Linked DNA regions of Xenopus tropicalis. The main gene of each other region encodes a partner of the protein of the gene in region 2 in a complex. Links are inferred from orthologs where the notes say so. Each region holds a gene or a part of one and is shown on either strand. Other genes may lie near its edges. The genes, in order: med7, med25, med26, med21, med18, med24 and med12.

Evidence for each region.
Region 1: med25 (region 2) and med7 share a complex: the UniProt entries of both Homo sapiens proteins name them as parts of the mediator complex. The link is inferred for Xenopus tropicalis from reciprocal best matches to the Homo sapiens genes MED25 and MED7.
Region 3: med25 (region 2) and med26 share a complex: the UniProt entries of both Homo sapiens proteins name them as parts of the mediator complex. The link is inferred for Xenopus tropicalis from reciprocal best matches to the Homo sapiens genes MED25 and MED26.
Region 4: med25 (region 2) and med21 share a complex: the UniProt entries of both Homo sapiens proteins name them as parts of the mediator complex. The link is inferred for Xenopus tropicalis from reciprocal best matches to the Homo sapiens genes MED25 and MED21.
Region 5: med25 (region 2) and med18 share a complex: the UniProt entries of both Homo sapiens proteins name them as parts of the mediator complex. The link is inferred for Xenopus tropicalis from reciprocal best matches to the Homo sapiens genes MED25 and MED18.
Region 6: med25 (region 2) and med24 share a complex: the UniProt entries of both Homo sapiens proteins name them as parts of the mediator complex. The link is inferred for Xenopus tropicalis from reciprocal best matches to the Homo sapiens genes MED25 and MED24.
Region 7: med25 (region 2) and med12 share a complex: the UniProt entries of both Homo sapiens proteins name them as parts of the mediator complex. The link is inferred for Xenopus tropicalis from reciprocal best matches to the Homo sapiens genes MED25 and MED12.

The regions. Positions count from the first base shown.
Region 1 is NC_030679.2:14,184,237-14,187,358, reverse strand, and holds med7 (mediator of RNA polymerase II transcription subunit 7), read right to left. Parts: upstream 1,869-3,122; 5' UTR 1,838-1,868; coding exon 1,148-1,837; 3' UTR 501-1,147; downstream 1-500. UniProt on the Homo sapiens protein: Component of the Mediator complex, a coactivator involved in the regulated transcription of nearly all RNA polymerase II-dependent genes.
Region 2 is NC_030683.2:117,454,692-117,458,650, reverse strand, and holds the start of med25 (mediator of RNA polymerase II transcription subunit 25), read left to right. Parts: upstream 1-1,159; 5' UTR 1,160-1,276; intron 1,277-2,282; exon of another isoform or gene 2,283-2,365; 5' UTR 2,366-2,390; coding exon 2,391-2,515; intron 2,516-3,353; coding exon 3,354-3,399; intron 3,400-3,489; coding exon 3,490-3,614; intron 3,615-3,959. UniProt on the Homo sapiens protein: Component of the Mediator complex, a coactivator involved in the regulated transcription of nearly all RNA polymerase II-dependent genes.
Region 3 is NC_030677.2:112,253,949-112,257,358, reverse strand, and holds the end of med26 (mediator of RNA polymerase II transcription subunit 26), read right to left. Parts: intron 2,479-3,410; coding exon 832-2,478; 3' UTR 501-831; downstream 1-500. UniProt on the Homo sapiens protein: Component of the Mediator complex, a coactivator involved in the regulated transcription of nearly all RNA polymerase II-dependent genes.
Region 4 is NC_030679.2:3,065,995-3,070,178, reverse strand, and holds the start of med21 (mediator of RNA polymerase II transcription subunit 21), read right to left. Parts: upstream 2,801-4,184; 5' UTR 2,775-2,800; coding exon 2,733-2,774; intron 1,181-2,732; coding exon 1,066-1,180; intron 1-1,065. UniProt on the Homo sapiens protein: Component of the Mediator complex, a coactivator involved in the regulated transcription of nearly all RNA polymerase II-dependent genes.
Region 5 is NC_030678.2:78,266,383-78,270,550, reverse strand, and holds the start of med18 (mediator of RNA polymerase II transcription subunit 18), read right to left. Parts: upstream 2,801-4,168; 5' UTR 2,647-2,800; exon of another isoform or gene 2,641-2,646; intron 1,692-2,640; 5' UTR 1,675-1,691; coding exon 1,602-1,674; intron 1-1,601. UniProt on the Homo sapiens protein: Component of the Mediator complex, a coactivator involved in the regulated transcription of nearly all RNA polymerase II-dependent genes.
Region 6 is NC_030678.2:112,543,924-112,548,187, reverse strand, and holds the start of med24 (mediator of RNA polymerase II transcription subunit 24), read left to right. Parts: upstream 1-1,464; 5' UTR 1,465-1,645; intron 1,646-4,264. UniProt on the Homo sapiens protein: Component of the Mediator complex, a coactivator involved in the regulated transcription of nearly all RNA polymerase II-dependent genes.
Region 7 is NC_030684.2:44,423,774-44,426,790, reverse strand, and holds part of med12 (mediator of RNA polymerase II transcription subunit 12), read right to left. Parts: coding exon 2,896-3,017; intron 2,810-2,895; coding exon 2,648-2,809; intron 2,145-2,647; coding exon 1,761-2,144; intron 1,594-1,760; coding exon 1,455-1,593; intron 1,375-1,454; coding exon 1,187-1,374; intron 881-1,186; coding exon 809-880; intron 659-808; coding exon 435-658; intron 362-434; coding exon 205-361; intron 60-204; coding exon 1-59. UniProt on the Homo sapiens protein: Component of the Mediator complex, a coactivator involved in the regulated transcription of nearly all RNA polymerase II-dependent genes.

The DNA.
Region 1 (3,122 bases), on a different chromosome or scaffold from region 2:
CTGCAACTGATGGGGATTCCTGTAATCTCACCAACCTCCTTAGGAAATAAGGCCTAGGTGCCCACAGCACCACCCTTCTGAAAATAACAACTGGCTGGGGCAGCCAACAAGTTTACCTTCCAAATATTTTGGCCAGCATCTGTAGACTGCAGGGTGGAGCTTACTTAAACATATCCATTCTACCAATCAGAATGAGGATGGAATGTTGTAAATGCACAGATCCTGGTACTCATGTTTTTGTTTCTGTATAGCAGCTCTTGTCCCTGCACCTTAGTGCTCACAGTGTGTTGTTATTTACAGTGCAGCATAGCATCCTCCTATCATGATAAAATGTATATTCATTGCTACCATTCATGAATTTGATCCCAACCTAAGCACAGTCATTTAACCCTTGCTTTGTCACAAAGGCTGACACAGGGGAGATAGAAAGCTTGCATGTAATGTGAATGCACACAGCATCCTTAATGGAGGTGGATAATTAATAGGAAAGATGCTAGAAGTGACAGAGGGTTAAAACTATAATGCAGTAATACAAATATTAAAGTAAATAAACATGATAAACTGTAAAGGCGAGCATTTCAAAATATGGACTTCTCCTATAACAGATAACAGCACCCATTTTGGGATTTTCATGCTCCAAACCAATCTGAGACTAAAATATTCCAATTCAGAGAGAAAAAGATACAAACAATTGTAATATTAACTTTTAAATAAACTTTGATATCTCAGAACATGTGAATAACTGTACAAACATAACTTGCAATGAGTAGATTCCATACATAGTATATCAGTTAGATAACATTCAAAAGTCTGACCCCAGTCCTTTGTCTGTTTAATCACAAATAAGCAGTTACCACCCAGGTGTTGCAGAACTACAACCTTCCATTCCTCATACACATGAACTGGCAGGGAAAACACTGAAAAATATTAGCCTTCTTGCATACTGCCTTTTCAAAAGCATGGCAGAAAAGCACAATAAACAGACATGTACATGAGCAATAGCTGTGACTGAGTTCCCTTGGGACAAACATTTTCCTTGCCAAGTCCCATGATGAATACAACCAACACATAGAGCCATGCTATTGCATTTCAATGAATCCTTGTGACTTCTAAAGTTCAAGAGTCCTGATTAGAACTGCTTATTGGACTAGGTCATTTCATCGATGATAACACACATAGCTGCATCCTTATCAATTGTGGTCTCTTTCAGAGAAGCTGCTGCTGCCTCCTGGGGCCCCGCATGATGGTCCGTACAGGGTTCCCGAACATCCATTGGTTCAGTTTTTACACTGACTGCGCCATCAGAAAGAGGGAGGTCATTGGGTAGCGATGCCAGACAGTTCTGGATCATCTCCACCACTCGCTCTAGATGTTTCTGGAACCTCTCTGCCGTTTCCAGCCGCTGACGTTTCTGCACCTCCATCATCACCCGCAGGGTCTCACGTGCCTGGTGGGGCCTGTACTCATTAATAAGGTGGTGCATGTGAACAAATAACAACTTTAGGTCCTCCAGTTTCTCCTCCCTTCGGATGCTGCCTGGGCTTCGGATCAGGATGTCCAACATATCCAGAAAGTTGACCAGGATGGACATAAGGAGCTTCCTCAGCTCCTTCTTATGGTCGAACTGCATGGGGTGGAGCCTCTCGATGCCCTGAGTTTCCAGAGGGCGGATAATAAGGTCATCACACTGAAACTGGTTGCCAAACATCATGTAGCTGTCCTTTATGGGGAGGGGAGGCTTGGGGGCCAGGCCCTTGCGGATGTTTTCATCTGTGTACTCCTTAATGTACTGCATGGGAGGTATAGGCAAAGCGCTGACCTGCTGAGGCTCCCCCATTATGAAGTGAGTAGGAGAACCTGTGACACAGAAAGAAAAAGCCCATTCAGTTACATACAAATAACAATATAAATCCCTGTGTGTGCAGCACATATATATATATATATGCATTCCAATTGATGATGCGCACTCCTGTATTTTTTTAGTTCATTTATTGTTACATTATAAAGTTAAAAACATCAACGTTTCGGTCCAGGTCTAGGACCTTTATCAAGATGTTAAGCCATAAAAAGTCACACACATAATGAGTCTTTATATAATACAAAATGCCTAACCCCGCCCACATTGAGCATAGCCCCAACCCCATTTCACAACCCTTAAGCTGGCCATACACGTGGCGATCTGACGATGTTTCGTACGACCATCGGTCGCACGAAACATTGTCAGATCCGCCACACACCTTTCAAGGCTGAATCGGCAGGTAAGAAGGTAGAAACAATAGGATTTTTACCTCCTTCTGCCGATTCAGCTCTGAAGGGAGAATTTTGGTCAGGCGCCTTCTATGGCGCCCGATCAAAATTTTCAAACTGGTCCGATCGGCGAGTCGGCCGATATCAGCAGATTCCTGCGATATCGGTCGACTCGCCGACATGCCATACACGCACCGATTATCGTACGAAACGAGGTATCCTGTATAGCACATACTGACCTGCTCCTCAACTCCTCTCTCATTCCCTCCTCACACGCTCGCATTCAAGACTTTGCAAGGGCTGCCCCCCTTCTCTGGAATTCGCTCCCACAAACTGTCAGACTTTCTCCCAATCTCTCTGCCTTCAAGAGATCTCTAAAAACACACTTATTTAGAGAGGCTTACCCTAATCTAGTTTAGCAATACCCTGTGCCACACCTCTCACAACTCTGGCCATGCCCATTCCCACACCTTGTGTCTCAACCCTTTCTCCTTGTAGATTGTAAGCTCTTTTGGGCAGGGCTCTCTTCACCTCTTGTATTGGTTATTGATTGCTTTATATGTTACTCTGTATGTCCAATGTATGTAACCCACTTATTGTACAGCGCTGCGGAATATGTTGGCGCTTTATAAATAAATGTTAATGTAATAAAATACACAAATTGTGAATTAAAGAAAACATATCAGTACAATTAATAAACACTATTACAATTAATTAATTGTACTGATGTGTTTTCTTTAATTCACAATTTGGGGTTGGGGCTCTGCTCAATGTGGGCGGGGTTAGGCATTTTGTATTATATAAAGACTCATTATGTGTGTGACTTTTTATGGCTTAACATCTTGATAAAGGTCCTAGACCTGGTCCGAAACGTT
Region 2 (3,959 bases):
ACTGTGTATGGGGGGTACTGTCTCCCCTGTGTGGGGCGGCAAAACTGGTAGATAGTTAAAACTCACTTATATGTATTGTAACATTTGTCCTCCCTGTGTGTAATTCTGTATATTGTAAGACTGTACAGCGCTGCGTACCCTTGTGGCGCTTTATAAATAAAGTTATACATACATACATACATAATTGACTGCCTTCTCTCTATATTTGTATTTATATGTAGGAGTTGCTATTTTGTTTTCCTTAGGTAGTACAGTATGAGGGTATAGCACATTTGCATCTGATCCCACCATTTCTACTATATAAAAGGAGTATTTTTAGAAAAAATGGGGTGTGTTAATTGGGGCGTGGCCACAAAAGTGGGCATGGTCAAAAAAATTTGCCGCACTGCGCGCACCAAATCTTTTTGTCCCTCTTTTTGTTTTTCAAATGTTGGGAGGTATGCATATGCCATCCCACCAGCGATTTACATTCTTACCAGTGGGATGGCATGTCGGGGAGATTCGGCGCCTACAATAGTGAAGATTTATTGCGGGGACATCTCCATGTGTGCCACTGCCCTCAAAAGTGATTGTCACCCAATATCTTTTCCTTATCCAGCCCTTTTTATGTCCCTACATTGTACAGGACATGAACTTTGTTCACACAAATAACACCAGGGCACTAACGATTACTGGGACTGATATCCAACACCCATTATATTCTCCTAAATTAGCCCACTTTCCCCCTTTAAAGTAAAAAAAATATTGCTATAGTCTCCACATAAAACTAAAGCAGCGCTCAAAATAACTAGAAGTCTGTTTATGGGTAACAGCTGGTGAGGGTCTAGCTCCCCTATTAAACTAGAAACCCCTGCCTGAATGGGCTTCCTAAACGAGCTTATAAGGCTGGGTCAGGTACACAAAAGTAAAACATACTTTTTGTTCCTTGTTTTATTACTTTGTTACCTTTTTTTGTTTGTTTTATTACTATATTGAGAAAAATCTGCCCCCATAGGGTGTAACTAACAACTCATGAGTGAACATCACAGCCACACTTCATTGTCAGTCATCCCTGAGCTACAATAGCGGCTGCGTGTTGCGTCACCGCGTTTATAAATGTACGGCGTGACGTCAAAATCTCGCGAGATGAGAGTTGAGACTTGGGACTAGCTGTCCGGCAGCAGCAGCCGAGGCGCTGGACATTGCCGGGGTTTGTGGGACGATTAAGCAGCGGCTGGGATTGCGGGATGCGTTAGGGAAAGCGGGGCTGTCCCGCGAAAGGCGGGACTGTTGGGCGGTACGTATGTGTGTGTGTCTATACGTTCACAGACTCAGTGGGAAGCCCTAGTTCATGTAGGAGGAAGACATGTGTAATACTCTTTCTTTTCATGGGGACCCGCAGCAGCTGAAGGGTTAATGCCAAGGCAACCAGATTCCCTCTTGGTGTTGCTGAACTGAACGTGTAAACTTGTGTCTTGGTCTGTTTGTGTTTCTTTAACTTTGTAACTGGACTTTATCTCTATGGAAAGGCAGCTGCAATGATGGCAGAGCTGGGGGGCTCCCTAGGTTTGATTCCAGGAAGGAAATCACCTACAAAGAATGGGTCTCCCTGTGTTTGTATGGGTGCCTCCTGGTACCCAGTGTTAGGCTATAATCCAAAAAGTTTCATTGGTTCCTGATATAATGTGCGTGAGTGTGATAGCGACTTTAGATTGCAAGCTCTGCTGGGAAGGGGGCTGGGGGCAATGATGTGTAATCATCAGATCTGTTATACAGAGCAGCAGAATATATTGCCGCCTTTATAAGACAGGACAGTTTTTCTTTGAAAATTAAACTAAAGCTCCATTCTGCTTCCTGATCCCAATGAGCATAGTCAAACAAACCAGCAGCCCACTGAGCAGCCTCTGTATAAACAAACCCCTCTTCCTACAGCTCCAGCCTGTTATTCTTTGATAAAGAGTAACTCATACAGATGCCTTTTAGTGGGCTGCTGGGTTATTTGGCCCTGCTGTTTGGGATCAGGAAGTAGAATGTGGCTTAAGTATGATTTTTTTTAAATGTTTATCTGTCAAAGGTAGGGGCTTGTTTAAACAGAGGTAATATTCCCCATATAAAAACTCTGATTACGGTAGCAGGGAAGGTAGTAAGCAAAAACAATTTTCCACTTTATTATAATAAAGCAAATATATTTATTAATTCAAAGATCCTGCAGAATGCTTGTACAACCCAAACCTTATTTATTTTGACCCTTTAATAAAAACATGGCAAGTGTGACTCATTTAAGAAACCTGTGTTGTTTTCAGCAGGTGAATGCAGTAAAGAGCAATCAGGGGCTTCTGCTGCCACAATCTGAAAGAAAACGAATGTATTTTTATTCTTCGCTTAGGGTGGATCAGTGAGAGGCTTCAGCAATGGATGCAGCCACACCAGGAAACGGCGGCATAATATCCGATGTTGTCTTTGTCATAGAGGGAACGGCTAATTTAGGACCTTACTTTGAATCACTACGGAAACATTACCTGTTACCTGCAATAGAGTAAGTCCTACTGCAAATATTTGGTAAGGAAGTACTTAATCCCCCAGGATTTTTGAAGTAGAACAAAAACAGGGATTCTCTGCATTTGACCACTCTCCCTAGTTGCCCTGTGAATGGCTGCCATGACTGGGTTCTGCCTCTGCTCTCTCTTAGCAGCCACCAACCAGGAGCATGAACACTTGACTCAAGGAGCTTATTGCCTTTACATGCACATGTGTATTTCTGCTAAAGAACAACCCACTGCACAACTGCACACCACCAGTATGGGAAGCAGGGCCATCCTAAGGTGGGGGTGTCTTCGCTGCAGTTAAGGAAAGGGGACTAATACTGGGGACCCATAATTAAACCATGCATTTTGTTCTCCCTTAAAGCTGAAGCTTTCACTTTCTTAAGGTGGCCATGCACGTTAAGATACACTGGTTTGGCAAGGTTGCTAAACCAGCGGATCTTTCCCCAATATGGTGGCCAATAAGGTGGGCCAAATCGGGCTAATTTGATAATCAAATGACAAAGACGGCTATTGGAGCCATTGGACCGAGAACCACATCAATGAGCCAATACAGTCCCTAATCCAACGCCCATCCAATTGACACCTTGCTGATTTTTAGCCAGATATCATTCTGGGATGCCCATTGGGGGTCCCCATACAAGTGCAGATAAGCTGCCAAATCCGTTTAAATCTGCCCATGCATGGCCACCTTTACAGTTTCTGCTGTGAATTCTCATAGCCCTGTAGTATGTAAACAAAATATCACCAAACTTTTTAAAATGCTATATTATGCTAAAATTCATTATTCTGTTAAAAGTAAAACGTTTCCCCTCTTCTTTTCTTTCTTAGGTATTTTAACGGTGGACCCCCAGCAGAGACTGACTTTGGAGGAGATGTGAGTAACGCAATAAACACTATTTACTTCTGTGACAATTTATCTTGGTTTTCTAAATGTGGGCTTACATTCTGCTGTTTTGTCTTCCAGTATGGCGGCACCCAATACAGCCTGGTAGTGTTTAATACGGTGGACTGTGCTCCAGAATCCTATGTCCAATGTCATGCCCCCACCAGCAGTGCTTATGAATTTGTCCAATGGCTGGACAGCATTAGGTAAGATATTTGCTTCTCTGTTCTCTCTCACTGCTGTAAGTCTCACCTGAGACAGACATGTGATCTCTGCTAGCTAGAACCTAATACTGGTATGGGATCTGTTTTCCAGAAACTCATTATCCAGAAAACTTTGAATTACAGGACAGCCACCTCCCATTCATAATTTTAATATTGATTTTGTTTTGTTTTTTGCGAAACATTCCTATTGGGTTTGTTTAATGTTTTAACAGGTTTTTAGTAGACTTAAAGTTTGTAAATCAAAATTACGGAAAGATCCCTTACCCGGAATAACCCAGGTCCCATACATGTATTTTTAATCACGTGGCTCTTGTAGACGGCCAACTT
Region 3 (3,410 bases), on a different chromosome or scaffold from region 2:
CAGCAATTTCAACAGTTTAGTGGTAATTGAGGTGTAAAATTATTAAAATATGGATTTGAGGGGGATTTGTGGAATGTTCAAGCCTGTCAAAACTATTTCAGAGACTGAACAAATACATGAAACAACTCAAATTGAAAAGGTAAGCCAAGGTAATGGATTTAAAGACTTTCTGCTCTCTCTTTTTACAAATTTAAAGGACCAGCTGAGATGCTAGGAACACAAAGTTTAAGTGCGTCAATATTTAAGACGCGGTTCTGTCAAATTAAATGGCAATAGAAATAAAATCTGGAAAAAAAAAATTAATTCAAATAAATAAATGCATACTTTGTTATGGTAAGGTAACATCTTCAACTTATTTAAATCATCTCACATAAGCTTTCGGTACCTGTCATATATATATATATTTATATATATTTTTATTCCAGCCCTTCTGCAGGTACCGGGAAAACCTCACTCTGATTTTAGGGTTGGTTTGAATTTAACACTTTTTTCTTTTTTTCTTTTTTTTTTTACTACAGCTCACTTGCTATATAGCCCTCCACTGCATTTCTTTTCCTCATTTATAGTATTAAACCGGTAGCAGCATTTTGCGCAAAGGGATGGGTGCAGCAGGCACTGAGACACCTGCGGATAATTCCCAGAATGTAGTAGTGACCCTCTAAACATCTCTTTTCTGCTTCTGGCTCTATCAGCCCCTCCATCTACCATCCCCAAAACTGAAATGGGGGCTCCTCACTCGACAAATCTCCTTTGATGAGCGGTGGTCGCTGAGCGACCCAGGGTTTTGCAGTGAAAACCGTGGATGTGAGAAAGCGGAATTGGGACCCGCGCTCAGTCTAGGCAGACATAAGGCAAGACGTTTAATCTACCATCATCCCCATGAGGGTCCAATGAGATGCACTGCGTCCAATCATACCAGTTGCCCTGTGTATCATGACAGCCATTGACACCAGGCCAATGTTGGTTGTGTATTCTGTCTGTGTCACTGCTAGTGATTTCCCTGGTTCTTCCAGGCAGATCACTTGGAAGAACAATTGGAACTAAAACATGAGTTTTCCTTGCTTCCCTCTTAGTGCATTCCTCCTGTTTTAAATATTCTGACATATAATAATGTGCACTCTGCGTCTGTACACCAGAGGAAGACAATAAGCTGCTCTGCCGATTGAGATAGGACTGGATGATTTCATTTCGAGACAGCTCTTTCCAGTTCGTAAGCTGAAAGGGACTAGGCAAGCATAACTTGGGATCCTGTTTGTCAGTCTCAGTCCTGTGTTGTTCTGAAGGAGCTGTACTCTCTGCTTGCACTGGATCTTTAAGGGTTAAGGGTTTAATTTGCCCTGTCATAACATCAAATGTTAGTTTGCGTTCTTTTTTTACCCTTGCTGGTTTACCAGTCCCATCTGCAGAATGCCCCTCAAACTCTGTTCGAAGTCTGGATTTTTTCCTCTTGCGGTTGTCTGAGCCTGATGTTGCATCATCACTATCTACTTTTGAGGACTCTGGTGAAAAGCCAGTACGGGGGGTTTGAGAGTCTACAAGGCTACTGCGGGGGGTGTGCTGTTGTGACGTTCTAGGTAAGACCTGGTGGCAATCAGTGGAGGGTAACTGTTCTACCGGCTTGTGTGGGGAGGAGATTCTGTCCTGTCGAGGGGACTCCAGTCTTTTTGCTGTGGCAGGGGGCGTAGAAGGGTGCAAAGGGGACTGATGTGCAGAGTCTACACCCGGTAGCCTTTGGGAAGGACTAGGAGCAGAACCCTTTGGTGCATATGTGGTGTGCTGCCGTGTAGCTAATTCTGCACGAGTGCCACGGGGACTAAAGGAGGAACAGCGGGGACTTCTGGGCTGGTGAGAAAGGACATCTTCCAACCCCCCACTGTGCTGCTGAAGGACAACTGCTTTTAGCAGAGAGGAAGTGCTTGGGTGTTTTACAAGTCCAGGAGAGTTGGTATGAGGCCGGACAGCATTTACTGGTATTTTTCCATGCTTGTCATTCTCAGCAGGTTCCAGTCTATTAGATTGCAAACCTCCATCCAGAGGGCTAGGGAGGTTCTCAGGGGGACTTCCCCCAATGCCATTTGTAGGTGGGGGTGAGGAGTTTTGAAAAAGCTCATGGTTGGGCTTGGATACATGTCCTGGGGTACTCAGGCCACCATCCCGATGTTCTCCTTTTCTCTTTCTGTTGGTTGTTTTATCTGCTTTTGGAGAATGTGCCCTCTGAATATCATTCCTGTCTTTCAGCCCCTGTATGGGCTTCCCACCAAGAAGAGTAGTTGGTGTAGGCTCTGCTTTGCAGTTGTGGGAGCCACCTCCATTGGCAGAACCTGGTAAGTTAGAGATGCCCCTGACAAGTTGTTCATTCTGGGTCACTGGCTCAATCAGCTTTTGCCAGTTTCTCAGCAGTTTCTTTGCACGCTTGGCAAGCTCCTCATTGCTGGTCTTTTTCCGAACATCATTAATCAGTTTTCCTAGTCGAGTTTCCTGGGGGTGGAAAAACACATTTCATAATAGTATGAGTAACTTAGAAAGTATATACCTTTAAGAAACCAAGATTTTATTTTTGAAATTAAAAAATAAAACGTTTGTAAAATAGATTAGCTACAGTGGTGCTCACCACCTTTTTTGAAGGAGCCACAGACTTAGAGCATACAGTGACATGAGTAACACCAAAAGTGTTTTAGTGTGTAATATATTTATATATACATACATACACACACACACACACACACATATATAATATAATATAATATATATATGTGTGTGTATGTGTGGATGTTTAGCCATGGGGGCAGCCATTCAAGCTAGAATGAGAAAAGTAACAGGTTATATAGCAGATAACAGATAAAACACCATTGTATTCTACAGGGTTTATCTTAGCTGCTATATTATTTATAGAGAATGTCAATTCACAGAGTGATTTACAGAATAAAAGGGGTACAAAAGACAAAATAGTTAACATGTAAATATAGACAATGCACAAAAAATGGTTTAGTTATGGCGGTAGAGTTCATGTTTGTGTGTGAAGTGACAGTAAGTGCAGAGTAAGAGGTGAAAACCAGTGGTTAGTGAGTGTATGAGAAATATTAGGGGTGTTCAGTGGGTAATTACATTTTTGAGGGCTTAGGCTAAAGGCTTGAATGAAAAGGTGAGTTTTAAGAGACCGTTTAAAAGCCTGGAGACTCTGGCAGTGCCTAATGGGATGGGGAAGAGCATCCCAGGCGATGGGTGCAGCATGTGAGAAGTCCTGCATGCGAGAATGAGAGGAGGTGATGAGTGAGAAGGAGAGAAGCAGGTTGTGTGCAGAGCAAAGGTAATGTCTGGGGGTGTACTTGGGGATAAGTTTTTGAGCTGAAACTGAAGATTTAGAGAGTGTTTGAATGTGGGGAAAGAGAGCAGAGTCAAATAAGACTCCT
Region 4 (4,184 bases), on a different chromosome or scaffold from region 2:
TGAACTTCCCCTACAGAGGCCCATAGCAACAGACTGGGAAACGAGTATGAAGGCACTAAAGCAGAACAATCGATATAATGTTTTGATATAAATATAGGGGGGAGTGTATTTCCTGGTACCCATGTGACTGTCTCTGCTTCCTGTGCACGGGGGAGTGTATTTCCCGGTACCCATGTGACTGTCTCTGCTTCCTGTGCACGGGGGAGTGTATTTCCTGGTACCCATGTGACTGTCTCTGCTTCCTGTGCACGGGGGAGTGTATTTCCTGGTACCCATGTGACTGTCTCTGCTTCCTGTGCACGGGGGAGTGTATTTCCTGGTACCCGTGTGACTGTCTCTGCTTCCTGTGCACGGGGGAATGTGTTTCCCGGTACCCATGTGACTGTCTCTGCTTCCTGTGCACGGGGGAGTGTATTTCCTGGTACCCATGTGACTGTCTCTGCTTCCTGTGCACGGGGGAATGTGTTTCCCGGTACCCATGTGACTGTCTCTGCTTCCTGTGCACGGGGGAGTGTATTTCCTGGTACCCGTGTGACTGTCTCTGCTTCCTGTGCACGGGGGAGTGTATTTCCTGGTACCCATGTGACTGTCTCTGCTTCCTGTGCACGGGGGAGTGTATTTCCTGGTACCCGTGTGACTGTCTCTGCTTCCTGTGCACGGGGGAATGTGTTTCCCGGTACCCATGTGACTGTCTCTGCTTCCTGTGCACGGGGGAGTGTATTTCCCGGTACCCATGTGACTGTCTCTGCTTCCTTTGCACGGGGGAGTGTATTTCCCGGTACCTGTGTGACTGTCTCTGCTTCCTTTGCACGGGGGAGTGTATTTCCTGGTACCCGTGTGACTGTCTCTGCTTCCTGTGCACGGGGGAGTGTATTTCCCGGTACTCCTACCCCGTGTCTATAAACGCATTGGCTGATACACACAGAGCAGTGACAGACAGTTTCACACCCTTTGTGTGCTGGTCTGGTAGTCAGTGCTGGGGGTGTGTCAGTGCGCAGTGGGCGTGGTTACAATGGCATTTGGGTGGGTAACGGGGCAGTTTGGGGGCCACTCGCAGTCTCTCACCTTCAGTGGGGTTGGGCGGTTGGTCCTTGTTGATGCCCGTCTGGATGTTGCTGAAGGAGGCGGGGGGAGCGCACTGCTGGAGGACCCCGATGGCATTGCAGAACTGATCGGCCAGCTGGAGAGACAAAGGGGAGGGGTTACAACTCCATTCATCCAATGCCCCCCTGGCACTGAGGGAGTTAATAGGCTGGTATTAAACTGACCTGCTACATTGTGTCAGGAGTCAGAACCTGGGGGTGGAGCTGGGCACTGCTGCCAATAGCAAGTACTTATCTGTACCGGGATATATATATAGGGATTTACGGGGCTATATATGGGATATATGGGGCTATATATAGGGATATACGGGGCTATATATAGGGATATACGGGGCTATATATAGGGATATACGGGGCTATATATAGGGATATACGGGGATATATATGGGATATACGGGGATATATATGGGATATACGGGGATATATATAGGGATATACGGGGATATATATGGGATATACGGGGATATATGGGATATACGGGGATATATGGGATATACGGGGATATATATGGGATATACGGGGATATATGGGATATACGGGGATATATATGGGATATACGGGGATATATATGGGATATACGGGGATATATATGGGATATACGGGGATATATATATGGGATATACGGGGATATATATATGGGATATACGGGGATATATATGGGATATACGGGGATATATATGGGATATACGGGGATATATGGGATATACGGGGATATATGGGATATACGGGGATATATATGGGATATACGGGGATATATATGGGATATACGGGGATATATGGGATATACGGGGATATATGGGATATACGGGGATATATATGGGATATACGGGGATATATATAGGGATATACGGGGATATATATGGGATATACGGGGATATATGGGATATACGGGGATATATGGGATATACGGGGATATATGGGATATACGGGGATATATGGGATATACGGGGATATATATAGGGATATACGGGGATATATATAGGGATATACAGGGGGATATATAGGATATACAGGGGGATGTGGGATATACGGGGATATATATGGGATATACAGGGGGATGTGGGATATACGGGGCTATATATGGGATATACGGGGATATATAGGATGTACGGGGATATATATGGGATATACAGGGGGATATATGGGATATACGGGGATATATATGGGATATACAGGGGGATATATAGGATGTACGGGGATATATATGGGATATACAGGGGGATATATAGGATGTACGGGGATATATATGGGATATACAGGGATATATATGGGATATACAGGGGGATATATATAGGGATATACGGGGATATATATGGGATATACAGGGGGATATATGGGATATACGGGGATATATATGGGATATACAGGGATATATATGGGATATACGGGGATATATATGGGATGGGGCGGCGATATAATCCGCATCAGCTGAGGGAACCCTCATAGACATGGGGTTCTGGGTAATAAGATCCATTGGACACAGTGTGGGGGCTGCGAGCAATGAATGGAATAAACCATTAGTTACAATGTGACTATAAAGCCGAGATGGGACCCAACTGCGGGCAGCGAGAGGATGTATTTCCCTTCCCCACAAACCCCACAAACCCCACACACAGATAAAGCGCTCACCGAATTCAGCGCGTCCTGGAGCTGCGTCAGCCGGTCCGCCATCTTTCCAGCTGGCAAAGCCGAACCAGCCGCCCATACCTTCAGCGCCGCTTCCTATTGGCTAACTGGTACAATAAAGGTTTCTATTGGCTAAGGGTCACTGCGGCGTTTTCTCAATAGGAGGAACGAGAAACGCCTATTTCTATTGGCCAGCCTCAGTAGAGGCGGGGTTGTAACGGCGGAAAGGAGACTGCGCATGTGTACTTCTACCTACACTGGACGTTCCCTGCCAACTTGCTAAATAGCGTTCAGTGTGATACCTCTTTTGGTCGCTAGAGGGCGATGCTGCCTATTGGACAATTGTATTCAGGTTTTATATTCCATTTATGATGGAAGGGGGGGGGGGGGCCATAATCCTCCATGGGCTACACTTTTGCTGTGGAGTTGCTGCTACAGAGTCGCCAGTCTGTCTATGTTGTTTCAGGATAAATAGAATCAAGAAGAATTTAAAGAGACAGTGTTATTGGTGCCTGTGGGATTGCTGGGATTGCTCTCTAACCCTGATCCTGTTACTGGGGGGTCTCAGAGAGCGAGTAAATAAAGATAATTCCATAGAGATACAGTGGCCCTGGGGCCCCTGGTTAGCACATAAGGGCCCTAAGAAATTGGGACCCAAATTGAATATGACTTTCCCTTATTATCTGTATTGAAAAGCCTGTGTGGGCAGTGCCTGCTTAGACTTTCTTTTTTGTTATTGTGTGCCCAGAACATTCCTTCTCTGTATATTTGTATTTATACATATGGGTAGGAGGTGCCATAGTGTTTCCCTTAGACAGTACAGTATGGGGGTACAGCTTATTGTGTGCCCAGAACATTCCTTCTCTGTATATTTGTATTTATACATATGGGTAGGAGGTGCCATAGTGTTTCCCTTAGACAGTACAGTATGGGGGTACAGCTTATTGTGTGCCCAGAACATTCCTTCTCTGTATATTTGTATTTATACATATGGGTAGGGGGTGCCATAGTGTTTCCCTTAGACAGTACAGTATGGGGGTACAGCTTATTGTGTGCCCAGAACATTCCTTCTCTGTATATTTGTATTTATACATATGGGTAGGGGGTGCCATAGTGTTTCCCTTAGACAGTACAGTATGGGGGTACAGCTTATTGTGTGCCCAGAACATTCCCTCTCTGTATATTTGTATTTATACATATGGGTAGGGGGTGCCATAGTGTTTCCCTTAGACAGTACAGTATGGGGGTACAGCTTATTGTGTGCCCAGAACATTCCCTCTCTGTATATTTGTATTTATACATATGGGTAGGGGGTGCCATGGTGTTTCCCTTAGACAGTACAGTATGGGGGTACAGCTTATTGTGTGCCCAGAACATTCCTTCTCTGTATATTTGTATTTATACATATGGGTAGGGGGTGCCATAGTGTTTCCCTTAGACAGTACAGTATGGGGG
Region 5 (4,168 bases), on a different chromosome or scaffold from region 2:
TTGAATGGCTGCTCCCATGGCTACACAGCAGCTTATTTATATAAACTATAGGAGCGTTCTGTAGCAAATACACCGGTTTTACCAGCGCAGGGCAACAGTACATTACATTTCAATTACTTTAAAACACTTTCATATTTTGGTGTTACTGTTCCTTTAAGCAACAAACTCCTTGCAGTACACATATTAGAAGCAGCAAGGCTTCTTTTAGCTCAAAAATGGAAAACCGATCTTATTCCCTCAATGCTGGAACTAAAAAACTTTATCAACCTCTCACAAACCCTTGAATATCACAATGCAATGGGACTCATGGAAGAACTTTACTGAGGCTGATATCCAGGAATTATAGCTAATAATTTATATTATTTGCTCTTCATATTTTTTTTTCTTTCTTCTTTCTCCTTTCTCTTTCCCCTGTTCTCTTCCTTTTCTTTCTTCCTACTTCACTTCCTTCTCTCTCTATGCTCTCTCTTCCTGTGATTCACGTACAGACACATTCAGTATTTGAGATACATATAGATATAATGCAAATCTTGAGAGTTAAACTTTTAGATGCAAAAAAATTGTCAATTAAAAAAGAAAAAAATTAAGGAATACAACCAATAACCAATACAAGAGGTAAAACAGGGTCCTGCTCAAAAGAGTTTACTGTAAAGTCATAGGATTTTATCAGTGCATGTCAAGGCACCAGTGGTTACCACTGGTGCCTTTCAGCACAGATGCCATGAGTTTGATTTTTATCTAGGCACTATCTAACAGGAATATCTATGCATGTCTGCATGTTTTTATTTTTCTCGAAAAACATACAGATAAACCAAATTTTAATTTAATCAAACCTTTGTTGTGTGAAGTTGATTGAGACTAGTGTTGCACAGACCAGCCTAAAATGTCTGGACCCAATGGCTGGGCATGATCGGGCTGGTGCAACACTTTTCTTGTTCTAGTCCTGACTCTACCCATGTACCACCCTGTGATGTCAGCATGTTGCAGCACTCCACTAGCTGGCTACCATCCTATTTATATCTTTATTCTGCCAAACCCCTCCACTCCAGTGATGCCAGGCATGTGTGGGTAAGGCATCACTAATTACGACCCTATAATAGCAGCTCCAATGGTGAGCAGAGGCTTTTGTAAATGACTAATAATTAGTGCTTCATCAGGTTGGCATTATATAAACATAATAAACAGAAAATAAATGAACTGCAGGACTGGCATTACTTGGGGCTAAAAAGAAATGGAATGATATGCCGAGACAGAAGGCTATTTTCTGTAAACGTGACCAAATACTATTTACATTTTTTGATAGCTATAAAATTATATACAGAACACCAGGATCTTCTGCATAGCTGTATGCGTGTGTCACACTTGGGGGTAAGGGCGGGGCACCAGGGCTTGTGCCGGCTGAGGCAGGGAAGACCGGGCCGTGACGTGACCAAATGCTATTTACATTTTTTGACAGCTATAAAATTATATACAGTGACTACTAGAACCATGTTTTCGTATACCTTGCTAAACAAACAGGGGCCTAAACAGACTTTTTGGTTAGAGGGGACAAACTAATACCATTAATACAGTAACAGTACAGTTTGTTAGGCTGTTCTTACCTTGCAGTAAGTACTCCATCATGTTAATAGTTCCTCCAGATACAGGCATTGTTGTGACTGGGGGAGCCTCCATTGCAAAATGTTAGTTCTCTAAATAAACAAAACAAATATATTATACACAATATTCATATGTTTACAATTGTAGTCAAGACAAGGCTGAATCTCCACTAATACTGCACTGCTTATGTTCTACTAGAACCCCCCTCCAGCCTGAACTTGTCCTGAATAAAAACAGAAACAATTGCATTCACTTTGCCAGTACAATGCTTCAGATTATTTTCCTACTTTCCTAGGTATGGTTTAATTTAGGGGTGCACCTAATTCAGGATTTGGTGAAGATTCTGCCTTTTTCAGCAGGGTTCAGCCAAATCCAAGCTTCAGGCCAAACTATATCCAAATCCTTAAAATCAGGTTACTTTTGCCTAATCTTTCACAAAGAGTTCAACCCCGGTGATTCATCCTTTCCTTCTCCTTTAACAATACCTGACATAGCACTATGTGCACAAGCCTCACATAGACATAAATGGGGGTCATCCCACTTTTAGATCTGTTAAGTAGAGTACTACCAGGCTAGCAAAATGTTGTTTTATTCCTGGGATGTTGCTCCCAGTGGCCTCAAAGGTGTTTATTTTTGAATTCCTGGCTTGGAGGCAAGTTATGGTTAAAAAAACAGGTGCACTGCCAAACAGAGCCTCAAATTAGCCAGTCCACATAGGGCCTACCAAATAGCCAATCACAGCCCATATTTGGCACCCCATGAACATTCACATGCGTGTGTTCCTCCCTAACTCTTTTTACCTTTCTATGTGGTTCATGCATAATAAGGTTTGGGGATCCCAACGTTATTCCAAAGTTATTAAGCAGGAAGTAAAACAAAGACTGTAAGGCCAGTCATTTCCTACTGAAAAGACAGCAATCCTAGGTGTTTTGTGTGTACATTTTTATGTAATAACTGTATATGCAGAGCTGTGTTTTCTTTTTACAATTCATTAACAATAAAGACACAGAGGTACAAACACGGCAGCTGATAAATACATACACTTACTAAAACAAAGTGCCCGACAAAATTTTGTAAATAAGTGAATGGAACCGGGATGCGACGGGATCAATTACTTCATTTAGAGCACAGCCAGCAAGCTCAAGCAGCTAATAAGTTAAGTTCCGGTGCCTAAGTGCACGGCTAACCCGCCATAAAACAACTCTCCCTCAAGTCCTCAGGAGGCTGGCTCCAGAACACCAGGAGCTTTTGCATTTGCGTACTGCGTGCGTGTGACGCACTTGGGGTGAGGGCGGGGCACCAGGGTGCCTGCTGAGGCACGGAAGACTGGGCCGTGACGTAGCACGCTTGTATGTGCCGTAAAGGAGAGGACGCTCGAAATAGAAGGTATTAACGCAGTCGTGGGGGGAGGGGGGTATTTTGCCCCTTATTTCGTAGGAAGCCAATACGATCTGCCAAAACCAAAAATTCCCCTACTGGTGGGTGATTAGATTACTGAAAATTCAGGACCACGTCTAATAAATACATGTTGCAGGGCAGCACTGATTGCATTTAAAATCAATACAGCCCTGCTAGCTGGATTTTTTAGACATGTCCCTAAATTTAAAGTAATCGGGCCACCCTACTACTGGCAACCATATATCTTAGTACAAATCATAGATCTTTACTTGCTCTTAAACCTGTCTTGGCGCAATTACAAATATGTGATAACATTGGTTAATGCTAGCACTGGTGGCTTAATTTTGACTCAATTATAACTTGCAAAAAATATGCAAGTCTGTCCACTTCTTGCTCAGAACAGATGACAATGGTAAAGCTTGAATACTGATTTTTGTCTCTTCAGGACCTGCCCTGTTTGACTCGGACAGCTCACTTTTTGGGAGGACTGTTTGGGGCAAAACTCCCTGCCCAGTTTTTCAAATTAGGGAAACAGGGCAAGACTCTCTTAGACTGACAGTTGCCAGTGGCCGATCACCCGTCATAACCCCACCCCTGACTTGATTGACCATGCCTCCATCACTCACCTGATTTATTGAGAAATTCCACCAAAACCATACTAGTCCCGCCCATCAGTTCCACTTCCTGCTGGCTGAATTCTCTGGATGAGCTGGGGAGCCGGCGGCCCTCCGTACACTACACTGTAGGATAGGAACCAATCAGCAGCTAGGCTGACCTGATAGGGAACTGAAGCCTGTCTTTGCTTGTGTGAGTGCAGGGTTGTGATTGGCTCTCCCCCTCCTACTGTGCTTCTGGAAGGGACCATTAGGACACGCCCACTCTTCATTTCACACTGGACGGAGAAGTGATACAATCTATAGGGAGCTCCAATAAAGGGGCCATTTTTACAGATAGGATTAATTTTTAGCACAAAGTGAAACCAGCACCTTATATTATTTATAATTGCCTACAAAATAAGTGTTTTTCTCATTTATCCAATATGTCTCCTTTAAAGGCACATATATTCATTGCTACAGAGCTGTGGTCACCTTTGGCTTTTCGAAACCCCCAAAACGTAATATACAACAATTCTGCCCTTCTTCTTTAGTGGCCAGGGGTGTTTTCATCATTG
Region 6 (4,264 bases), on a different chromosome or scaffold from region 2:
TAGCTGTGCCCCTCATTTTAGATGACTTGACATACCTTTTCATATTAAGGGTTAAGTTTTAACTTTTGTTCCTTTGGAGTCCTAGGATTCATACACCAGTGGATGATGCAGAGGTTTATTTGCTGATCACTTTCTTTTCCCTTAGCCACACCCACATTCATTAGTAGAGTAAACGTTATCTTTTTGCCAGTACAGCACTCTGTAGTGCCAGTTTTCTCTTTACACCATGTTTTTGGATCAGTATGAAGAATCCTAGCTGCTCACTCAAAGGAAATCTGGTCAGCTGATGGCATTAATAACGATTGTTGGGGACAGTAATGGATGGTATTGAACTGGGTATACAGTAATCCAATTGTGTGGGGTGCACCTGGCACAAAGACCTTCTGAGCAGATGATTTTTTAAAAAACACTTGGTTAACAGTACTATAACCAGACATGTCAGCTAACCACATGTATATTTGCCATCTTTTTGCACAGATAATACCAGCAGGGGTAGGGGCAGGTCAGTATAGAGACTGGCTGTGACATAAAAGGGTGGATGGAGTTGTGACATCAAGGGTCAAATCTGATGTTGGTAGTATGACTGGTGTCTGTTGGAGCTGAGATGGGAGTGGTGTGCTTGGTCAGATAGATTAGTTATTACAAATATATATCCAAGTACATTGATGGTAAATTTGTAATACTGGCAATGCCCTAGGCTGGTAAAATACTAACCAGGTGGCAGCCCTAAACCTGTCAGTCAGGGTTTCCTCTTCACTTTCAATAGCAACATGAAAAATGGTCTTAAAAATACCCAGAGTGGTTAATTATTTGCAATATCTACATTTTTACAGGAGAGTTTAGGCCATGCCATGACCATGTTCATGCCCCTACTCCTCTGGCTCTGCCATCTTTACCTGAATCTGCGGGGATTTGGGGGTTTAGGCCTTTTAAATTACAAGATTGACTGAGCTATAACTATGGATGTCTAGGGCCAGAATAGCATTATTCCCAACCCAAATCTGCATTATCACCCTAAGGATTGTCTTGACAACTAAATCCTCAAATGCTGTTATGAGGTGACAATAAAGCACTTTATACTGAAGCCACTGTCCCTTTAATAAAAGCAGATCCAAAAACATATAACAGAAACCACTTATAAAGGAGATAGGAGACGCAAAAATACATTAATAAAATGACCAGTTGCAAAGTGGCTTATATTTCTTCCATCTTCTAGCTACTTCAATTTAATTTAAAAGTTAACTTTCCATTTAAAATATCAACCAAAAATGAAGCAGAAGTTGTCCCATGACAATTTGACGTTCCCGAAATTAGCCATCATTCCTCTCTATTAAAGTTGCCGTTTTGGCCTTTACAAAGATGGCGGGTTTTCGTTTCCTTATACGCAGCCAGCACGCTTTCCTCCTGTTTCGACCTTCCCAACATGGCGCCGATTCGATTTTTACACGCATCAGGGTTACGGATGACGTAAGCCGTAAAGGACTGGTACACCCTCCGCCCCCTTGCGGCGATTCCCTTTTGTGCGAGGGGTCGAAATTGTTGCTTCCGGGGACCGGACATCGGAGGCGATAGCCGAGAGAGGGAAAGCGAGTTACTCGGTGACTAGCGAGGCACTGTGGTAATAGGGACAGCGAATGAGTGAGAGGTGGGTACTGCTACTGTTACTACGAGCGTATATAGGAGACATCTCAGGGCACATAGAGACATGCTATAGTGTTTTTGGCAGGGTTTAGGTGGGAGTCTGAAGATTTGGTTAGGAACTGTATGACATACATGTGTATTGGGATTATATATATATATATATATATATATATATATATGCCAGCACTGTGGGTACTTACACATTACATGCTAATACTGTGCCATACAGGTGGTTACTTACAGGTGGTACAGAGGGCACTGTAGTTAAAAGTGGGCACTCCTTACTCCATCACTTTCCACTTCCTCAGACCCTGGTGTCAACAATGAAAGTCAAACCCACAGACTGAGAATTGCAGACTCAGATACACACTGGCCAAATTTACTACACAACTGTAGACTTGGTTTAACACTGTATTAGGTCTTTGGTACTTGGGTGTTTTGAGTGCCACTGCCCCTGTGTCAGGCAGGGTGCTTTTCATTGATTAACATTACAACTAGCTTCAGACAAGCCCCCTGTGTGTAGTTTTAGTTTTAAATGGGATCAATATCTTTCTCCTTAAAGGAGTATTCCACCCAAACACAACTTAAGCATTTGGAAAAGTATACATGAATCTGGCTGACTACTTTGTGACTCAAATAAAATGTAACAGTAGTCACCTGTCTTCAGTCTGCATATTCCCAATCCCACAATTCCCTGTTGCACATGTGATGTCAATAAGGAAAGAAACATCACAGTGCAATGCATTGTGGGTTATGTGAATCTTGCATGCTGTCTGTAAGCTGTGGAGAGGTTGTTACAATTTGTAACATCAGTGTTTTAGTCCCTCCTTCCCTGCCAGGATTTTAAATGATACAGAAAGAGAAGAACTGTTTTGCAGCTAGATTTCAGCATATCAAAATGGTATTTATTCATACCTTTTGAAGGAACAGATTACAGTGATAGGTATATTAGAGGTTTCTGTGTTGTGTGGGGCTCTTTAGCAAATTTTTGTTTTGTTTTTGTAGTTCCCCTTTAATGTCATCAGTGTCTTACAGAACTGCTGCTTGGTATAGAACTGAGCAAAGAAGCATCAGGAGATTATTTCTTGTTCATTAAAGTAGAACAGCAGTGAAGCTTTTGTTACATACAATCAGTAATGAAGATGAAAAATTAAGATTATCTCAAAAAGTTATAAAGCTATGGTTCCACACAAAATCCTTTTGGCTGATTTTGAAAATATTCATTTTCACTTTTCAGCGTGACTATATGCATGCTGCTTTGTACTTTCATTTTTAATCAGTTTTCCAAATTTCTAATTGATATCTTTAACTTGAATTGAAAAATAGTTTGAATTTTTTAAATCCAACTCCCATTGACTTCAAGATGAACTTGTCAGCTTTTAGACACAGATTCTTTAATTTGAATCCCTGAGTTTCAGAAAATGAATGTATTTAGCTTTTTGCTGAGTAGCTCTCCAGTTTGCAATTTCAGCAGCTATCTGGTTGCTAGGGTCTTGGTTACCTTAGCAACCAGGCAGTGGTGTGAATGACTGGAATATGAATAGAAGAGGGACTAAATAGAAAGAATAAGGAATAAAAAGTTACAATAAAATGAAATTGTAGCCTCAAAGAGCAAATGTTTTTTGGCTAGTGGGGTCAGGGGACCCCCATGTAAAGATAGCAAATAATTAAAAAACTATTAAAAACAAATAATTAAGACCAATTGCAAAGTTGCCAATAGTACATTTTATAACATACTAAAAGTTATCTTAAAGGTGAACCACCTCTTTAAATCACAGTAAAAACTTGTATACAGATTTATATAAATCTGACCCTAAATGTTTTCTATGCCAGCAAAGAAAAGGCTGGCGTTGTTAAAACCTTGTTTTCATAGAAGACATTGGAATCCTCTGATTCCACTGTGAGAAGTAAAAAGAACCCTACAAATTCAGGATACCTTTTGGACAATTTCACCCATAATATTCTCCATAATTAACCTTTTTGCCCCTAAATTGCGAAAAATCTGGCCCATGTTTGCACATAAAACACTGGGATCCTCTGATGCATCTGTGATTTAAAAAAAACAAAAAACTCCACATTATTAAAAAAAATCAATTTCACCTATTTTCTTCCACTAAATTGGCCCATATTTGTGCCTAAATTGTGAAAAATCTGGCCTTCGTTTTCGTGTCGACTTTCAAAAGCCACTGTGAAAAAAAGAACCTAAACACACTAGATGCATTTTAGTAGTTTCATTCACTGTCTTTTCCTAAATTAGCTTTTTGTCCCTAAATTGTGAAAAATATTGTCGTCGTTTTGACAGAGCACTGGAATCCTCTAAAGAGCCTAAAGAACTTTGGCCAATTTTACACATTTTCTTCTGTTTAAGTAGCCCTTCGTTTGTGCATATATTGTGAAAAATCTGTCCCTAGTTCTTGCATTAAAAACACTTGGACCCGCATTCAGTCACTGCATTCTCTTAAATTACTTTTTTTCTTGTTCCAAAATTGTGAAAAAATATGACAGTTTGCACAAAAATTAGACCAAAGTCTGATGCCAAAGTAAAAGAGCCTAAAACATCAATTACATTTGCAAATCAAAATAACTGCTTATTTATATGTTACTTTTGGTGACAGCTGGTGTG
Region 7 (3,017 bases), on a different chromosome or scaffold from region 2:
TGCTGCTGCTGTTGCTGCTGCTGCTGCTGTTGTTGTTGTTGTTGTTGCTGCTGTTGTTGCTGAAAATAGTTATGTCTGCTTATTACTCAAAATAAATTCTGCAAATCCCTAAGCCTCTGTCACTCGGCCTAGCAACCCAGGAGGCCAGATATAGAAACTAGTTTGAAAATATTATCATAGCCCCTTAGTTTTCTAACCTCTTACCCTTAATATCTGTTGCTGTCTTAAATACTGCTGCTGCTGTTGTTGTTGCTGCTGTTCAGGTAACAGCTGAGGCCGAATTGCACCTGTTACTGGCTGTGTAGTAAGGTGACCCATGCTTGGCATCATGCCTGTCTGAGTTATCTGCTGGTGCGGGAATCTGCAATGGTACAAACAGTGTTATTATGGTCATTTAATCAGCAACTGACACGCCTATCTACAGCTGTACATACCTTTGTCCAGCTGAAGCACTGTGACTGAAACCAGAGGCTTGCTGGTGCACATAGCCGCTGGGTCTCTGCTGCATCTGGCGCACTGGATCAAGAAGAGCCCCACCAGAAGGGGGAAGAGATCCAGGGTATTGCTGAGTACTGTATGGTGGGGGCACCAAAGCACCAGCCTGGGATGGAGGAGGGTGTTGCTGCAAGGTCATATGAGAGCCATATGATGTGTAACCCTAGGGAAGTACAGTAAGAAAAGAAATAATATCATAAAAAAAAGTTTGACATTTTATGATATAATTAAAATGGTGGCAAAAGAAGAGTAAACAAGTCAGTTCTCAGAAAAATACAGAATGAAACAACCCACTTAATCCCCCCATTCATACCTGAGGCTGCATAGAGCCATATGAAGGAGTTTGACTCATCTGCCGTACAGGCTGCGGCATCATTCCTTGTGCCTATAAAGGAGACGATAATATTCTGAATCTGCCCGAGTAATACTGACACACAGATGTGTATGGAGTAAACTACATAAGAGACCACCACTATTTTACCAAAAATCTGCATAAGTTTTTAGTGCTAATCTCAGGTCCTCTCTGAAATGCACATTCCTCCCACAAACTACGAAGGGGGAAGGTCAAAGCTCTTGTATGCAGAACCACCAGTGAAAACTGATCTCTGGCTAAAACAGCCTTGCAAAGACACTGAACACTATTTATATTTATCCAAATTTTCCTGATCACCAAAAACAACCTCAAACTCACCAACTTAGCCTGCAGCTGCTGTCTTAATAGTTGCCCCTGAGGAATTGGCGGCTGTGGTCTGTACATCACAGGCTTGTATGAGTCCATCATCCCAGCTTGAGGGACTCCACTGACATACTGAGGTCGGGCAGGAACCTTTACCATAGCCATCCGCGTAGGTCTGTATGAGTTATCTAGACGCGGACCACCTAGGAGTGTTCAGAACAGGAAGGCTTAGAATATTTCCTTTTGAAAGTTTATTGCCAAAGGAAGTAAGACATATACTTACCTGGTGGTAGTGGTTGGTTCTGAGCATACATGTTCTGGGTTGCATAAGGTAAACGGGACATTCCAGCAGCCTGGGTATGCAGAAGATCAGTGGGGACCATTCCATAAGGGCCCGGGCGGCCAGGACCAAGTGGAAATTCCTATTAGGTCACAAGCAAAGGGCTTGTTAAGATGGTAGGAAGTGGCAAAGAAGTGCTCAGATATTTGAGTAGCAACTACAATATTTGAGATTGCAACTCAAATATCTTGTTGCGGATAACAGTAAATCTTGGTGCTCACGCTGGGAGAACAAAAGAGACAGACAAACCTCTACTTTGCTGGGTGCCATGTTCCTCTTTTTCTCTCTTTTGGGCTTGCTTGGCTTCTTCCTGTCATCAGTGTTAGTGGTGCCACCCACTCCACTTTTGTCCACCTTAAGAGCCTCGCTGAGCTTTTTGTCAGGCTCGGTACTTGTAGGAGTAGGAGGTTCTTCATCCTCAGGTGGAAGAGGAAGGTTCTCTAGGTAGTAACTACGAGGCTTTGGTTTCAAGTGGGTGTGATACAAGAGCAAACGTTGTTGCTCCTCCATGCGAGACACACGTCTGTCCACACGTACAGTACCAAACCAGCCCCAAGAAAGAGGAGCAGACTGTTTTATCCCCTCAAACAGATCCCAAGGGGAGATCTTCTGTTTGGTGGAAACCTGAAGACCCTGTAGAAGGAAGGAGGAGATATTTAGGGAGAAAATCGATGTGAAAAAGAAAAGCAGCAAAGGCAGGCAAAATGCAGGCTGGTTAGTGGGAAGCCGCAGAGAGGAAATGTACCAACGGTAAGGAAAAGGAGAGTACAATCCTAATTTTATTTATTCTTAATTTCTGGGACAAAACACGGTGGCTAAGAGGATCCTAGCCAAGAAGCCCCAAGGTGGCCTACATCTGGGTGTACTGCAAAAGGGCTCTGTTCCTGGTCAAACCCCAGCTGTCAGCCTGCAGCTTTCTGATACATGTTTGATATGTTGTGTTTTAGGGCAACCAGAGATCCTGGGTGTCTTACTCAGAAGAAGGACCACAGAGCAGTGGAGTAGAACTATCAACTGAAAGGATCTAACTATAGAAGCTGAAACTCCAATTTACTCTTTACTGTCCTGTCACCTGCAGTAGCAGCTATACCAAGGTCATGCATTGCACAGCAAGACTTAAAGCTTAAAGCACTCACCTCCTTTTTGAAAATAGAATCAAAACCTGCAATCTTGTTGCCTTTGGTATCAATAAGAGATCCCTGTGGCTCGCAAGTTATTACATCCCGAGTCTGCTTGGGGAGAGGAAGGAGCTGACGAACCTTTTCTAGACTCTCAGACTGACGATCACCCAGCTCTTTCTACAGGAAACATAGAAAGAAGAGATTAGAAGAGATGTGGTTGTTTCTATACAAATAGGAAAAAAGGCATGCATAGAATCCCTTACCCGCAGTTTCTTTACTAAGTTCATGTATGCCCTTTTATTCTCTTCCATGCTCCCCTGAGATATACTGGACATATCAGCTGCCAGAGTTCCGTTGATCAGAACACTGAGCATGTCTAGGACAG